Linked DNA regions of Lonchura striata. The protein of the gene in region 1 purifies or fractionates together with the protein of each later gene. This does not show direct contact. Links are inferred from orthologs where the notes say so. Each region holds a gene or a part of one and is shown on either strand. Other genes may lie near its edges. The genes, in order: dnaJ homolog subfamily A member 1 and ENDOG.

Region 1 (7,402 bases):
CCTTCATGTGTAGATACTTTGGTATTGCTTAGCTTTGGATTTGTAGAACTGCCTTGTGTATCCACCACCTCCAACTTCATTGTTTTTCTGGGCACAAGCTCTATATCATCATTCTCACAGGAGTCCTCATGTGGCATCTTGTCTGCTTTTGAAACAGTTTTCCCAGACTCTTCGGCAAATTCCACCACATAGGGGTAAAGATTATTTACAATATGCAGAACTTGGCCTGGCTTCATTTTTACCACTTCATCCTTGCCAATATTCACAAGATCAACACTAGTTGGGTTGACCCCTATCTTTGGTAGACAGGAAAAGGAAAAAATAGTAGAAAATTATGTTGTAAGTGGAATCGCCAACTTCTGCTCAGTTCTCCTGGAATACCATTATCCTAGAAAGCAAATGCATTCTGCATTCATCGCCCAGCCTGCCCACATCAACCCACTTTAGCCAACCAGGCAGTGAAGCACTGTGGACGTCTGTTTCTGTCCCAGTCTTGCAGTCACAGCTGTCAGCACACAACCTCAGGGCCTGCCATCAGAAGGAGCCTGGGTCTGCAGCAGCTACACAGTTACAGCATCACTTGTGCTGCACTTCCCTCACAAATTAGACACCTATGAAACAACTAGTTACAACTGTTACATGTAACAACTGTAACAACTGTTACATGAAGTAACAACAGCAACTATTTCTGAAGAGCAACTGTAGTTTTAGCAAATTATTTTTGTGCAATCAAACTGTGTTGTAGGCAACCTACAGAGATTGCTTGACAGATGGATTTTGCATCATCATGTAGGTGACCTTACAAAAATTAGGAGTCTTCAGCAAAATGCTTTTGGTTAATGTATATGCACAAAACGGGTTTTAGGAAATCAGCTCTCTTCTGTGACTGATGAACTCAGAGTTTTTGCTAGCTTTGTCACTGCCATACCTGCATGCTTCACAAGACAGTACTATACCTCTCACTTGGAATTCACTGCAATGAAGCACACACCTGATTCCAGCCAGGATCTCTTTAGTCTACAGCTATGCAGTTTCCCTCAAGTCAAGGATGCTTCCCATCAGTGAATAAAGTATCAAACAACTGATCACTGGAACCTTGTGCCACACATCTCTCACCTGGGGAGCAACTCTTCACACACACAAGCAGCAGTACCAGAGACCTTTCCCTTCCTATTCTCTCAGAGACTGGGTTTTGTAAAGTGTGAGGGAATAGGCCTGCCTCCATCCATCTGGTAACATTCCTGCAGGGCTGTCTTACATCCCATCCCTTCCTATAAGTAACCACATCTCTGGCCCTATCAGTCCACCAATAAAAATGTTCTACAACTGCATAGTCCCATTAACACAAGAACTTCAACCTTAAACAAAGGGCTGCCTCAGCTTATGAAGTTTAAGGCTCAGGAAAAAGATAAGCAAGTTTAGTAGAAGAAGTCCAAAGTCTCTCAAATGCAGCACCCAACAGAACTGATTGAGTACTCACAACAGCATTCCCTGATGCTACAAATCTGGCTGTGTTAGACTGGAATGTATCTGGAATGAATAGTGCAACCTCTCACTGAGGTGCACAAATAAGAAAATACACTTGCTGTAACTTCTCTTGGTGATAAGAAAACTTCAGGTCCCTCAGACACCGTGATTAGAATCACCACTTGGAGCAGTTGTGGAGTTAAGTACAACTGTCCCAGTACCAGAAATATTGGAGATCCATGCATAAAAACATACCTGTTTAACTGTGACATAACCCTTGTTACAGTCTGCTTTTAACTGAACTGGAAAAGAAAGAACAAAGTGTCACAAAACCATGTAAATAAAAAGAACTCTGCTGAACCACCCAGTCCAGAAAACACTCCTCTTTTTGAAGAGCCATATCTTTCTGGAGCTAATCTTTGTGAATGCATGCCAAGAATATTTCTGCCTCATCTCTTCATACCTCTTCTCATACCACAGGTAAAACAGAGTCAACCCATACACTGAGCCAAGGGTGGAATTACTTTGGAACAAAGGTGGATTCTGTTGATATTTATACATATGCTTGACATTCTAACCAGCCCACTGGGACAATAAGGCATAGAGCAAGACTGTGTCCAGAGGCACAGAATATAACACAGGGAAGATGTGCAGTATTAAATAAGTGATAGGTATTTTCATATATTCTCCAAGATCACATTATTTTACATATTAAATAATAATTATGCTAAAAATCAGTTGGTGGAATACTAGGGAGAAGAAGTGCTGCTCATGAAGTGAGCAGTGAAACACAATTGTGGGCCTGGGAACTCACAAAAAGCTTTTGTATGTGGAGGCGGACGTCCTGTCTCTGATTTTGTAGGCCCCAGAGATCCCCATAAGTGCTTATTAAAAAGGCTTGATGACTTCAAGAAGCAGGCAACACTGCAGAACACACAGAGGAACAAGGCACGCTCAGTTGCTGCTGCACGTGGAAAGCAGGATTTGAGCTAAATCACCTTACCTTGCTGACGTGAACACTTCTTATCTGTTATCCCAGTCTCTGGGCCACGCCCAATTACCACAGGTTCCAAGTGTGGCAGTTTCACCCGCTGAGTGCATTTCTCTTTGCTCACAAGCCAGCACATACGCATCACTGTGCTATAGAGCAAAATAAACAGTGTGTTACCAACACGCCACTTTCTGATGGGCTACCTTGCTGTGGAACATGGTCCATGAATTCTGCTACCATTAGGTTAGCCAATTCTATTAACTTGGTTCAAGTTTCTGAAATGCAAAGCAAACCATGTCACCAGCACTTGCATAATCCAAGAGCAGGTTGCTGTTTGAAAGGGCAATACTGTTTTCCTTCCTACACTACCATACATTCTCACATCTGTGAACCATATATAGGAAAAATCAATTTTATTGACAGTTCCATCTGACAGAAGAGCCTAACCACAAAAAACGTCACTTTGTTTCCCACTGAATCAGAGTTCACCGAAGAGATTAATTTAACAACCAAAATAAGAGAGAGCAGCAGAAGACAACACATGATGAGAGAGTTGTGACAGCTTCATCCAGCAACAGTCAGCACACGGACCATGCCATGTAACCTTCAAGCTTACATCAGTTTGACCCTGGTAAAGATCCCTCATGAGCTCTGCACTGGAGAGCTCATGCCTGCGGAAAGCAAGGCTCGGTCCCCAGTCTAACGCTGGCATGCCACACACCCATCCCCACGGCACACGTCCATCCCCACGGCACACACCCATCCCCACGGCACACGTCCATCCCCACGGCACACACCCATCCCCACGGCACACACCCATCCATCCCCACGGCACACGCCCATCCCCACGGCACACACCCATCCATCCCCACGGCACACACCCATCCATCCCCACGGCACACACCCATCCCCACGGGAACATGCCCATCCCCACGGCACACACCCATCCCCACGGGAACATGCCCATCCCCACGGCACACACCCATCCCCACGGGAACACGCCCATCCCCACGGCACACACCCATCCCCACGGGAACACGCCCATCCCCACGGCACACGCCCATCCCCACGGCACACACCCATCCCCACGGCACACACCCATCCATCCCCACGGCACACACCCATCCCCACGGGAACACGCCCATCCCCACGGCACACACCCATCCCCACGGCACACGCCCATCCCCACGGCACACGCCCATCCATCCCCACGGCACACGCCCATCCCCACGGGAACATGCCCATCCCCACGGCACACGCCCATCCCCACGGGAACACGCCCATCCCCGTGGGCCCCGTTCCCATGGCAACGCCTGACCGACCCCTCCCCCTTACCGCGCGCGTGATGTTCGCGCCGCCGCAGCCGCCACTGCAGCCAATCAGCTGTGGCAGCGTGTCTCCCACGTGACTAGAGGGAGGCGCCCGCCGCGGCGCGTAGCTCCGCGCAGGCGCACTGGGCCCGCGCACCCGGGGGTGGGCGCTGGGCCCTCACAAAGGGGCAGTGCCGGCCGGCCTTGCGGCGGCGGAGCCAAGTCTGCGTAGGGTGAGGGGGGTAAGGCGCGGAGCGTTGCCGGAAGGCGACGGCCGGGCCGGCGCTGCGTACCCGGTGCTACTCAGAGCCTTCGAGGGCGGGAGCGGCCGACGGCGCAGGCGCAAGGCGAGGCGGACGCTGGGCAGGGACGGCGCCGCCCACGCGGGGCGGGGCGGGGCCGCGCTCCAGATCGGCGGCGGAGGCGGGCGCAGATTGGCCAAGCGCCTTCCCCTCCTGAGCAGCCATTGGTGGGCCACTCGCCCGGGCCCTGCGCGCGGCGGGGCAGGACTTCCGGGGCGGGGCCGGCTGCTGAAGCGGCGGGGCTGCGGGCCCGGCCCGAACTTTCCAGAAGAGTCGGGATCGGAGCTGCGCGGAGTGGGATCCGCGACCGCCGCCCCGGGACCCCCGTGCCGCCACCGCCATGGTGAAGGAGACCACCTACTACGACGTGCTGGGCGTGAAGCCCAACGCATCCGCCGAGGAGCTGAAGAAGGCCTACCGCAAGCTCGCACTCAAGTACCACCCGGACAAGAACCCCAATGAGGGCGAGAAGGTCGGCGGGACGGGACGGGCCGGGGCGGGGGGGGCCGCGCGGGAGGGGTCGGGCGGGAGGCCCGCCGGGGGTGCCGCGGGTGCCTGAGTGCCGGTGCTGTTCTTTCTGCAGTTCAAGCAGATCTCGCAAGCTTACGAAGTGCTGTCGGACCCGAAGAAGAGAGAGCTCTATGACAAAGGAGGCGAACAGGCTATCAAGGAGGGTGGCTCCGGCGGCGGCTTCGGGTCACCCATGGACATATTCGATATGTTCTTCGGCGGTGGAGGAAGGATGCAGAGGGAGAGGCGAGGTAACGTGTTGGCGAGGGTATCAGATTCTCTGAGGGGAATGCCTTAGATGTAGGAGTTTAAACAGAAATTATAGACTTAATCTGAAAATTGGAGAAAACTCTTGTCCCTTAACACCTGAAACACCAAGGGAGGGCCCTTGGTTGGTGTGGTGGTAGTTGGGTATCCCTGTGCACTGTCCCCTGTTAATCGCTAAAGCAGGTGTGTTCGGAGTACTTTTAGCTTGAGTGTAAGCCCAGCTGCTAGTAGACAAAATAGGAAATGGAAGGGTAAAGTAGCTTAAAATGGTTTACTAATTAAGTTACTGTAACTGTAGTATCTAAAAGCAACTATCTAAATCAGATATCAAGATCCAGTTCAGTCTGTGAAATTTTTCTGTGTTCCTGCACTGTGCAGTGGAATTAAGTTGAAACTGCGGTAAAATGCTACCCAGAAGTTAAACTCCAGTTTAATCACGCTGGGAAAAACTTTAAAGCTGTTAAGAGCAGTGCTGAGCCTGTCACCTCTTAGTGAAGATCTGTTGAAAAGATGAAGAAAAAATGTTTTGTATCAAAATGTTAAGAGTGTCAAAGTACTTGTAATAACCCAGAGCTCAGCATCATTTACAAAACTAGGCCTACAGCAGCTGAAGTGCTAAGGAGTTCTTGAGGGTAAAAATATAATTGCTTATTTTTGCTTCCAGAAGGTCACCTGGTGAGAGGAAGGAAGTGCTGAAATGGAGATTCCAAACAGAGTCTCTGCCTTGTTTGTAGATCTTTTTGGTGACTTTGTTGAAACCTGAGTCCTGCATTATAAAACTTAAACGTTTGAGGTTCTGTGTGTTCTGTTGCTCATACTTGTTTGTACTTTTCCAGAAGGTCTCTTCTGACTTTAACAAAGTCAAAGTCATGACAACTGTTACCTAATATGACAGCACCTGGGAAGAAGCTTTTGACTAATACAAGCAAAACAAGACAAACCTCTATCGATACAAGATACTGAAGCCCAGAGACTTAGTTTATCTTGGCTTGGCAGGGAGATGTGCCAACCAAGCTTCTAAACTTTAATTAAGTTCTGTTCTTTTACAGGTAAAAACGTAGTCCACCAGTTGTCAGTAAGTTTAGAAGATATGTACAATGGTGCGATGAGGAAACTTGCACTGCAGAAAAACATTATCTGTGACAAATGTGAAGGTAATGTTGAAACTGAAATTAAAGAGATGTTTCTAAAGCTTTGGGGGATTTTTTTCTGGTAGCACATAACCACCTAACTCCATTTTTTGTTCTCAGGTCGTGGTGGTAAGAAAGGTGCTGTAGAATGCTGCCCTAATTGTAGGGGAACAGGCATGCAGATCAGAATTCACCAGATTGGGCCAGGAATGGTGCAGCAGATCCAGTCTGTGTGTATTGAGTGTCAGGGGCATGGGGAGCGTATCAGCCCCAAGGACCGGTGTAAGAGCTGCAATGGCAGAAAAATTGTTCGAGAGAAGAAGATACTGGAAGTTCACATTGACAAAGGTGAGGTGTCTTACTGAGGTGAAGTATTGAACTTGAATGTACTGACTGACTTTGCAGCACTAAAACAAAAGCTTTAGCAAATGTGGTGTTGATTTTGTGAGTAATAGTGCTGAATACACAGTAAAATTGCTTACTGCTGCCTTACAAAAGTAGACTTATTTTCTAGGGAAGGTCCACTATCTCTGTTCACTTCTAAAGCCTGGCACATAACTAAGAATGAATTCTGAAACCTGCGTTATTGTAAGAAGTGAATTATTTTTCAGGTCCCTCTAAGCCCAATTTGTGATCAGGTAACACAATCAATTTTCACTGCGTGCAGCAAAACTGCAGACTGATCACTTCCGCTGTGTTTCAGTGTGAAGGGGAGCCAGGTCTGCTATAGTGGCAGGGTGCACAGACAGTGCTAAGGCTCTCATGCTTAAAGCTCTGTTGACTACGCAGCCCTGACAGTGCTGCCCAATGCAGGTACCACTTCCTTGCCTGGCAAAATGCACCTCAATACACAAACCCTCAACGTGATGGGTGAACGGAATGGTATTGAATGACAAATGCATCTCTGTTGAGGGGGCTGCCCAAAAGCTGGTGGGAGAAGTCTGGAGTAATGCAGCTTGTAAGGCAGAGCACGCTGACAAGTACATGACTTAAACGGTCTTGCTTGTGATTATGGCCTGCAGCTGTTACATGTGTAAGCAGAGCTTCTGCAGCACCTGAATTTGTAGGGGAGATCCATAGTGGTAGTAAATATAAGGTCTAGAAGGGATGTATTACTGATATTTTGAACAGGGAAGTCTTATGAGAAGGATGTTTTTATAGAAGTAAGGGAAAAGATTTATGTAGGATAAGAAAGCTAGTATTTTTGTTCAATCGATTTCTTGTGTGGGTGAAACAAGTTTCTTATGGGAGGTTTTCAGTCCATAGGGAATGCTTCTTGGACTTGGCAGGCAATCAGATCATTCTTCATAAGGAGATGCGCTACATATTTATGAAAGTGAAGAAGCTGACTGGTCAACTGCTGTTGAAATAAAGTTTGTACACAGTGTTTGATTTCCTTTTTGTACTTGTGTGTATAATGAAAAC
Region 2 (7,300 bases), on another chromosome or scaffold:
AAAACCAGCAACAAACCTTCTGGAAGGGTATTGAGGTTTGATCAGTTACAAAACAGGAAACACTAGCTGTTAAGGGAGTAACTGAACATGGCTGTATGTTATAATAGGCCAAGAACCTTGTTGTCAAGGTTTGCCTTGCTTAAGTGAAACAATCTGTATCAAGAATGCTGGGAAGTCACTGAAATCCCTTTGCTTCTTTGCCATAGGATTATCCTATCTCTGATGTTCATCTGATTTTGAAGAAGGCAAAGGAACTTCAAGATTCCAAATAGTCCATGGGCCTGACAAAAGGTGTTAGAGAACTGTGTGACAGTGGATCCTGGGAGATGGCCTCTTGCAGTGTGGTGCACTAAAGCTCCTACTGGTCTCTGCAAGACTTCAGGTTTTGTTAGGACTACTGGCCACCTTGAAGACTTCTACTCTATTTATTAGGTCAAGGACTGATTACTTCCCTATCTACTTGGGTCCTGCACTCCAGATTTTTCCACATCTGAAATGCCTCTTTGCTGCCAAAAGCAGCTCTTTGTATCTTTTTTTTAATGACTTTGAGTCTGGGGAGAAAGAAACCTTCTGTCTGCATATCCCTGAAGGGATGGACTCCTGTATTGTGGAAGTACACACGGAGTAACTTCTGATGGAGAAAGGACAGACTTAAGTCCAGTGAATTTTGGTGGGTGAGGATAGAAGGATCTTCCTCCTGTGAATAGAATGTATTCCAGTGAAGTCACACATTCTGCCATTCAAGTAGATTTTGGATTCTTCTCTCTCGTGTCTGCACTTGGCCATCCCTGAAGTGTGTGAAGAAGATTGCATCACTTTCTGGTGAGGGTCACCTGACAGTTTGCACTCCTTTGACTGGGAAAGAGACTTGGGAAGTTGAGGTGGGAGGACACGGTGACAGCTGGTGGCTTTGTGCACTCAAACTGCCTGAATCCAGAGCTGCCTTATCAACGAGGTGTCCTTGAAAGCAAGACTGGTGGTTTTAATCCCCCGCTGAAGTGTAGTTCCAAGTCAAGCCTTACTACGCACAGCCTTAGAGCAGGATTGTTGCTGAAGGGAGGCCTCATGCTGCTCTGAACTGGAGCATATCCAGCTACAATCAGGATTCTGAAACACAAGAAATGGACACCTAATCATGTGCAATGAAGACAGATGTATTTAGGGGCTTATACAGGCACGGAACTGGAGTTTTCTGCCTCAGTGGCTTAAATAATACTATTCCCATTGAGGTCTGGTCACAGTAACCTTGCTATTGTCTCACAGTACTTCTTGCCAGGAAGCGACAGTTCTGATCTGCAATAAGAGTCCTTCTCTAGCACAATCCAGCAGGCACACAGGCATCTGTCATGAGCTGACTGCTGGGGCTGATCCACTGTTCTGTCTTGGTCCTGCTGGAGTCACAGTCCTGAGCTGGACACTTGTTCTCCTGAGAGGGAAATGCTGCACTTCAGGTGACCAGGGACTGAGACAAACCACAGGGAGAACTGCTGACCTGCCACAGTGCCGAGCTGAGCAGAAACTCTAATCCCCAGAGAGAGGAACTGCCAGCACCCAGGTGCTTGTGTGGTGCAGAAGCTTTTGAGTGAACAATAATCCAACATGCTTTCCCCTTTCTTTCTGCGCTGTGCTGGCTCACCTCTGCTGTTGGACTCTGCAGTTTTTGGTATTTATGGGTGTTGATTTGTTAAAGGTCAGTCAGTCTTTGTAATATCTGCTTAAGCTGCTGCTGGCCTAGACTTGCCCTAGCAAGAGGGATGCTGGCAGCCTTGAGGTTTTTTACTGGTGTTATTTCCTTCACTGAAGGCCCTCACAGGCTGCTGTAATTCTCACCAAGGTGCATGGGGAGAGACAGCAGGACAGGTTGGTGTACATACCCATGTTCTTATTGGCAATCCCAAGCAATCTCTGCCTCTTGAATAGATGCTCAAGTACCACTTGTGCAGCCATGTGTTGCTGCTGTGTTGCAAGAGCAATTTAAGGTTTATAGCAATCTCTAATTAATACCTGTGGCAACAGTATCCCTCTCTGCTGCAATCTTTTCTTGAGGGTATAGCTTTCCTCCAAGAAAACTGGGACAGGTAGACCAGGACAGCAGTGTGATGAAGCACCCTGGCTGCTCTGGCCACTGGATGGATGTTCTTTCTGAGCTGCTCCAGGTGGTCTTATGTCTCAGCTCTTGGGTACCTGCACTGGGGAGGCTGTTGGCCAGACCTCGTGTGGTCAAAGAGCCACCTGGGAGGTTCTCTACAGATGTAGAATCACTCTTAGGCAGAACTGTACCTGCTCCAAACACTTCTGCCTCAGAACTGCTGTAAATACTGCAGCTTTCCCATTCCATGCACAAACTCTGCTCTCATCTCCCTGAATCCTTTGCTGGGCTGTTCACTTTGGGCTTCCCTGGCACCTGCAGGGTTTCCTTATGCTGGAAGTTCTTACTGGCAACAGGACCATCCATGAGTGTTCCTGCTCTGAACAGCTGGAAGTCTCCTTAAAGTAACCTGAGGAGGCAGCAGGCAAATTAGGATGAAAGCATTACTTGGAGAGGAACTTCTCCATGTTTTCAGCATAGCTTTGGGCCCTGAGGTGACCATCCCACTGGGGAAGGCACAGGGGAGGTGGCAGCACAGGTGTTGTGCTGTCTTCTCCCTTCCTAGGTGTGCTTTAGAAAGGAGTTTGCAGTGGTTTTAAAGGGATGCAATGAGAGATTTGGCTGCTGGAAAGGATCTCTGGGACAAATTCTGTAGCCTTATCCAAGCTATGGCTGCCAAACCTACTGAGTTCTGTGGGGAGAGCTTGCAACAACTTTGAAATGTCCAGACAGGCTGTTCTGTACATAAAAAGCTGTTTTATATTTGTGCTTATTTCCTTCCTGTGTGGTAGAACTTCTGTCCTGCTGTTGAAAGGAGTGGTGCTTTTCATTGTCTTGGGACATCTATTTCTTTATTCCAAGACTTTCTAATTTCTTTGAGAGTAAAACCAGATTTTCTGACAGGACAGAAGAAAATCTTAACCTTTTACCAACTTTAGAATCTCCTCATGTTTCTCTTGGCTTCATTCGTCAAAGGTTTTTGGTGATTTATTTTTGTTGTTCTTGTAGTGAGACAATACTTAACTGGTGTTTCCTTGCTTGTGTGGCCAAGTAACACCTGCTCCAGCCTTGAGATGTTTCTGCTTCTGGTTTCTTACAGTCCTGACCTGCTGAAAGAACTGATCTTTGGGGTGGGAGGCGTTAGTCTGGGCTGCCTTGGGGACCCATTGTCTCACAGGGACTTGAACAGAGGAAGTTTAAATAGGTATTACCGTGTGCTCCTCGCAGGCAGGACTACTGCCCGACAAGGGAAGGGGAAATCACCTTCAGCTGGGAGGGGAAAAGGACACTCCTGGATGTGGGACATGAGCCTTTCCTGGGAAGGAGAGGTCTGTTCTACCTGCACCTTACTGGAGTTCAAGCTTTGTAGAACTTTGTAGCTTTGCCAGTGATGTGGATCAAGTTGCTGGTGGTGGTTATTCAGGAGACTGATTTTGAGTTTGAATTTTGTGACCTGACCTAGAAGTAATCACACTTTGGCATTGAGAAGAATGAAGGCCAGAAGTTGTTTTGGGGGAGTCTGGGGTGTTTGGGAATCAGAGGCTGGTTTTCCTGAAGGAATGTCAGTGACTTTGTGTTAGCTGTTCAGAGCAGTCTTCTAAAATGCCCTTTCCCCAAAGAAAGGAACAGATAACACTTTTTTTTTCCACTTTGTGAAGAGCTGTGAGAAAAGGGTGTAGTGAACATTTCATCACTCTAAAACTCCTTATTTTATGCTTCTTTTTTCAAACACTATTTTTATAAGTTTTCCTTTAAGTAAACGTATGTCTGTGCAAACCTCTCCTGTTGGTGTGAGTTGGGGCTGCTCCAGGTTCCTGCTGCGGTGTCCGTAGGTGTGACCAGCAGCACAGCGAGCTGCGGGGAGCCCTGGCGAACCCGCCTGGCTCCTCCACCGCCTTCTCCTTTCCGCCATGGCTTTGCTTTGCCTTCCCAGGAATGCGTGGCACAGGTGGCGGTGTTCCCGGTGTCCCGGTGTCCCGGTGTCCCGGTGTCCCTGTGTCCCGTGTCCCGGTGTCCGTGTCCCCGCCGCTGTCCCGGCCCGGGGCCGCTCCCGGCCAAGCGGTCCCGCCATCGCGTTCCCCTTAAAGCGGCGATGCCGCCGGCGCAGCGCGGCGCGCGGGGCCCGAGCCGCGGCCGGTTGAAGGCGGGGCCGCCGCGCGGTGGAGCGGCCATGCTGCGGGCGCGCTGGGCGCTGCCGCTGGCGGTGGGCGCGGGGCTGGGCGCGGCCCTCACCCGCCGGCAGCACCGGGAGCACCGGCAGCGGGGCGATGCGGCCGAGGGGCTGCTGGCCCGCCTGCCCGTGCTGCCCGCCGTGGCAGCGGCCAGCCTGCCCGCGCCGCCGGGCTCGGGGCGCACGGAGCTGAGCAAGTACGGGCTGCCCGGGCTGGCGCAGCTGCGGAGCCGCGAGTCCTACGTGCTGTGCTACGACCCGCGGAGCCGCAGCGCGCTCTGGGTCATCGAGCAGCTCAACCGCGACACGCTCAGCGGCTCCTCGGACCGCGCCGCCTGCGACTTCCAGGAGGACGACTCGGTGCACGAATATCACCGCGCCACCAACGCCGACTACCGCGGCAGCGGCTTCGACCGCGGGCACCTGGCCGCCGCCGCCAACCACAAGTGGAGCCAGAAGGCCATGCGGGACACCTTCTACTTGAGCAACATCGCCCCGCAGGTACGGCCCGAGCCCTGCGGGGAGGCCCGAGCTGCCCGCGGTCAAGGGCAGACGCTGCTCCGTGCGGGAAACCCCCCGGGAGCGTCCCGGTGTCTGCCTGCACTTCAGGCAGAGGGGCCAAAGTCACTCGGAGGTGCCGATTTCCTGCTAAATTTAATAACAGGAATTGTGCAAATGCACCTGTGTGTGTGCGCGCCTCTTAAGCCATGAAAGAGAGACCACGGTCAGTGCAGCTCCTGTCAGGAGCAGAATTAAACAGGTAGATGCACACTTGCTAAAAATTGAGGCCTTAGGCAATGGGTCCTGCCCTGGGTGTGCAAACCAGGCCATCACTGCTCCCAAAGCAGAGGTGATAGTGGAGATTGGGTATGGAAAGTGCTTGGGGCTCTGTGAGATGTGTTACTCTGAACAGTGAGGAAATACTCCAGCAATTGACTACTGGTTGTGTTTCTAGAATCCTCATTTAAACCAGAATGCCTGGAATAACCTTGAGAAGTACTGCAGAAGCTTGGCAAGAAACAACAGGAATGTCTACGTCTGCACAGGACCCCTCTTCCTGCCCAGGTAAACACAGGGGCTGAGCTGGACTGGCACCCAAAAGATGTATTGTGCTGGCAAAGGAAAAGAGGCTAAAGGACCACACAGGAGGCATCTACTAAGGGCCTTCTCAGTAGGTGAGACCAGCTGTGCACAGAGGTTCTGTAGAAAGGTACCTTTTTAGGATTAGTTTATGTATTTCCCATTCAGATTATTATTTCATGAGTCAAGTGGCATTGTTGAGCTGCAGTATAGCCACAGCTTGTTTTTGTTTGCAGTCTTTAACAATTAGTAAATTAGCTGATTACCAGATTAGACTGCTGACCCCATCCCTGCAGAATAAAGCTTTCAGGTTCAGTGTCACAGACTACTTCTCCACTTAAGGACACAATTTTATTTTTCAAGATCTCCACGTAGCACCAAAGAGCAGCTGTCTCATGTTGAGATCTCTTCAGCGGCAGGAAATAGCTTGGAAAGTCTGTTAAAGAGAGCCAGCAGGGAGAGGATTTGGGGGCAGCCCCAATGCACAGCTCACCCTCACCATGTCACATGGCCTCTGCCCCAGCCATGTTTTACAGGCGTGTTGCAGGAGCAGAGCTGCTGCCTCCTGTGGGGGGGCTCTCACTGAGGGGGTGGAGTGACACCAGACTAAGAAATAACCTGGGATGTTGCTGTTGGTGCAGGATGGAGGCCGATGGGAAGATGTATGTGAAGTACCAGGTGATTGGGAAGAACAACGTGGCTGTCCCCACCCATTTCTTCAAGGTGCTCATCTTGGAAAAGGAGAGTGGGGAGATTGAGTTGCGCTCCTACGTGATGCCCAACAGCCCTGTGGATGATAAAATCCCCCTGGAACGGTTCCTGGTTCCCATCGAAAGCATTGAGCGAGCTTCAGGGCTCCTTTTTGTCCCAAACATCCTCAGGAGAACAAGTAACTTGAAAGCCATCACAGCTGGAAAGCAGTGAACCCTAACTAGAGCAAATACAGGTAACCCCTGGCAAGGGACTGGCAGTCACCTGACAATCATAGTTCCTTGTGCAGTTGTGGGAATTAAGATTCAAACCTGTGCTTCTCTCTACCATTCCCCTTGTGTCAAACTGAAACACAGATGCACAACAGGTCTCCAGAGTGGTCCTGCAGGAGGCTCAGGGGCACCTGACACTGTAGTAGCTCTCTAGGATTTGCCCCTAATCTACTGCTGCCTTGGAGTTTTGTGAAGCTCATTGAGGTAGAAAGGGAAGTCAGCTAACTGTTGCTGTTTAGCAGGGAAGGAGGGGAGCAAGGTGGGTGCCAAGGGAGTAGAGAAGTTCCTGCCTTCCTGTGGCTGAATAACTGTGCAATTGTTTTCTTTCAGAAGATGGTTTTAGCAGTAAAGCTTTGAACACCCATGGTATTGGCTGTTTCTTACCTGCTCTCACCAAAGCTCTGAATATCTCAGCAGGAGGAGGAGAGGATGGAGCCAACTTTTGCAGCTGCTTTCCTGTCTGAGCTCACTGTAGGCAGAGCTTAAGGCATCACAGACAGAGCCAGACTGTAATGAGATGATGTGTTTTAGTGCTGAGGCTCAATTGAAGCTCCAGCCTTCCTGCTGTTGGGAAAGATGAAGCCTTGAAGGGGGGCTGGGGGAAATCAGGCTGAGGCAGGAACAGTTTCTTAGCATAAGTTCTGACTTTGTTTCAGTCTGAAGGCCACATCGCTCCAGAGGCACTGCCTGAAGACACACACCTGGAATTCGCAGCAACTGAGGTTCCACACTGTTTTATTCCCACCCAGATGTCTGAGTTGCTGAGACCAAGTCTGCTCGTGCCAGCTGCTGGGAAGCAGCAACCAGCTCTTGGCTGGACTGTGCAGGCAGGAGGGCACAGACTTGCTGCTCCTAGCAGCAGTGAATTCCTGGTTGGGTGTTGTGGCACATCCACAACCAACCTCTGTGAGCCACCTGCACTCCCAGAGCACGCTTGCTTAAACTGCTGACAAATGAGGCGAGAGACGGGTCTGTGTG

What was found.
Region 2: the proteins of dnaJ homolog subfamily A member 1 (region 1) and ENDOG purify together in Homo sapiens (affinity purification with mass spectrometry; 3 studies listed by BioGRID and IntAct, counting the BioPlex papers as one, with this or other methods). This does not show direct contact. The link is inferred for Lonchura striata from reciprocal best matches to the Homo sapiens genes DNAJA1 and ENDOG.

What each region holds. Positions count from the first base shown.
Region 1 is NC_134642.1:48,010,271-48,017,672, reverse strand, and holds the start of dnaJ homolog subfamily A member 1, read left to right. Parts: upstream 1-4,262; 5' UTR 4,263-4,410; coding exon 4,411-4,542; intron 4,543-4,653; coding exon 4,654-4,831; intron 4,832-5,896; coding exon 5,897-6,001; intron 6,002-6,097; coding exon 6,098-6,325; intron 6,326-7,402. Other genes in the region: APTX (aprataxin), read right to left, coding at 1-296, 1,723-1,769, 2,471-2,607, 3,441-3,622.
Region 2 is NC_134624.1:307,388-314,687, reverse strand, and holds ENDOG (endonuclease G, mitochondrial), read left to right. Parts: upstream 1-4,259; coding exon 4,260-4,760; intron 4,761-5,214; coding exon 5,215-5,324; intron 5,325-5,980; coding exon 5,981-6,263; 3' UTR 6,264-6,686; downstream 6,687-7,300. Other genes in the region: TBC1D13 (TBC1 domain family member 13), read left to right, coding at 207-272. UniProt on the Homo sapiens protein: Endonuclease that preferentially catalyzes the cleavage of double-stranded 5-hydroxymethylcytosine (5hmC)-modified DNA.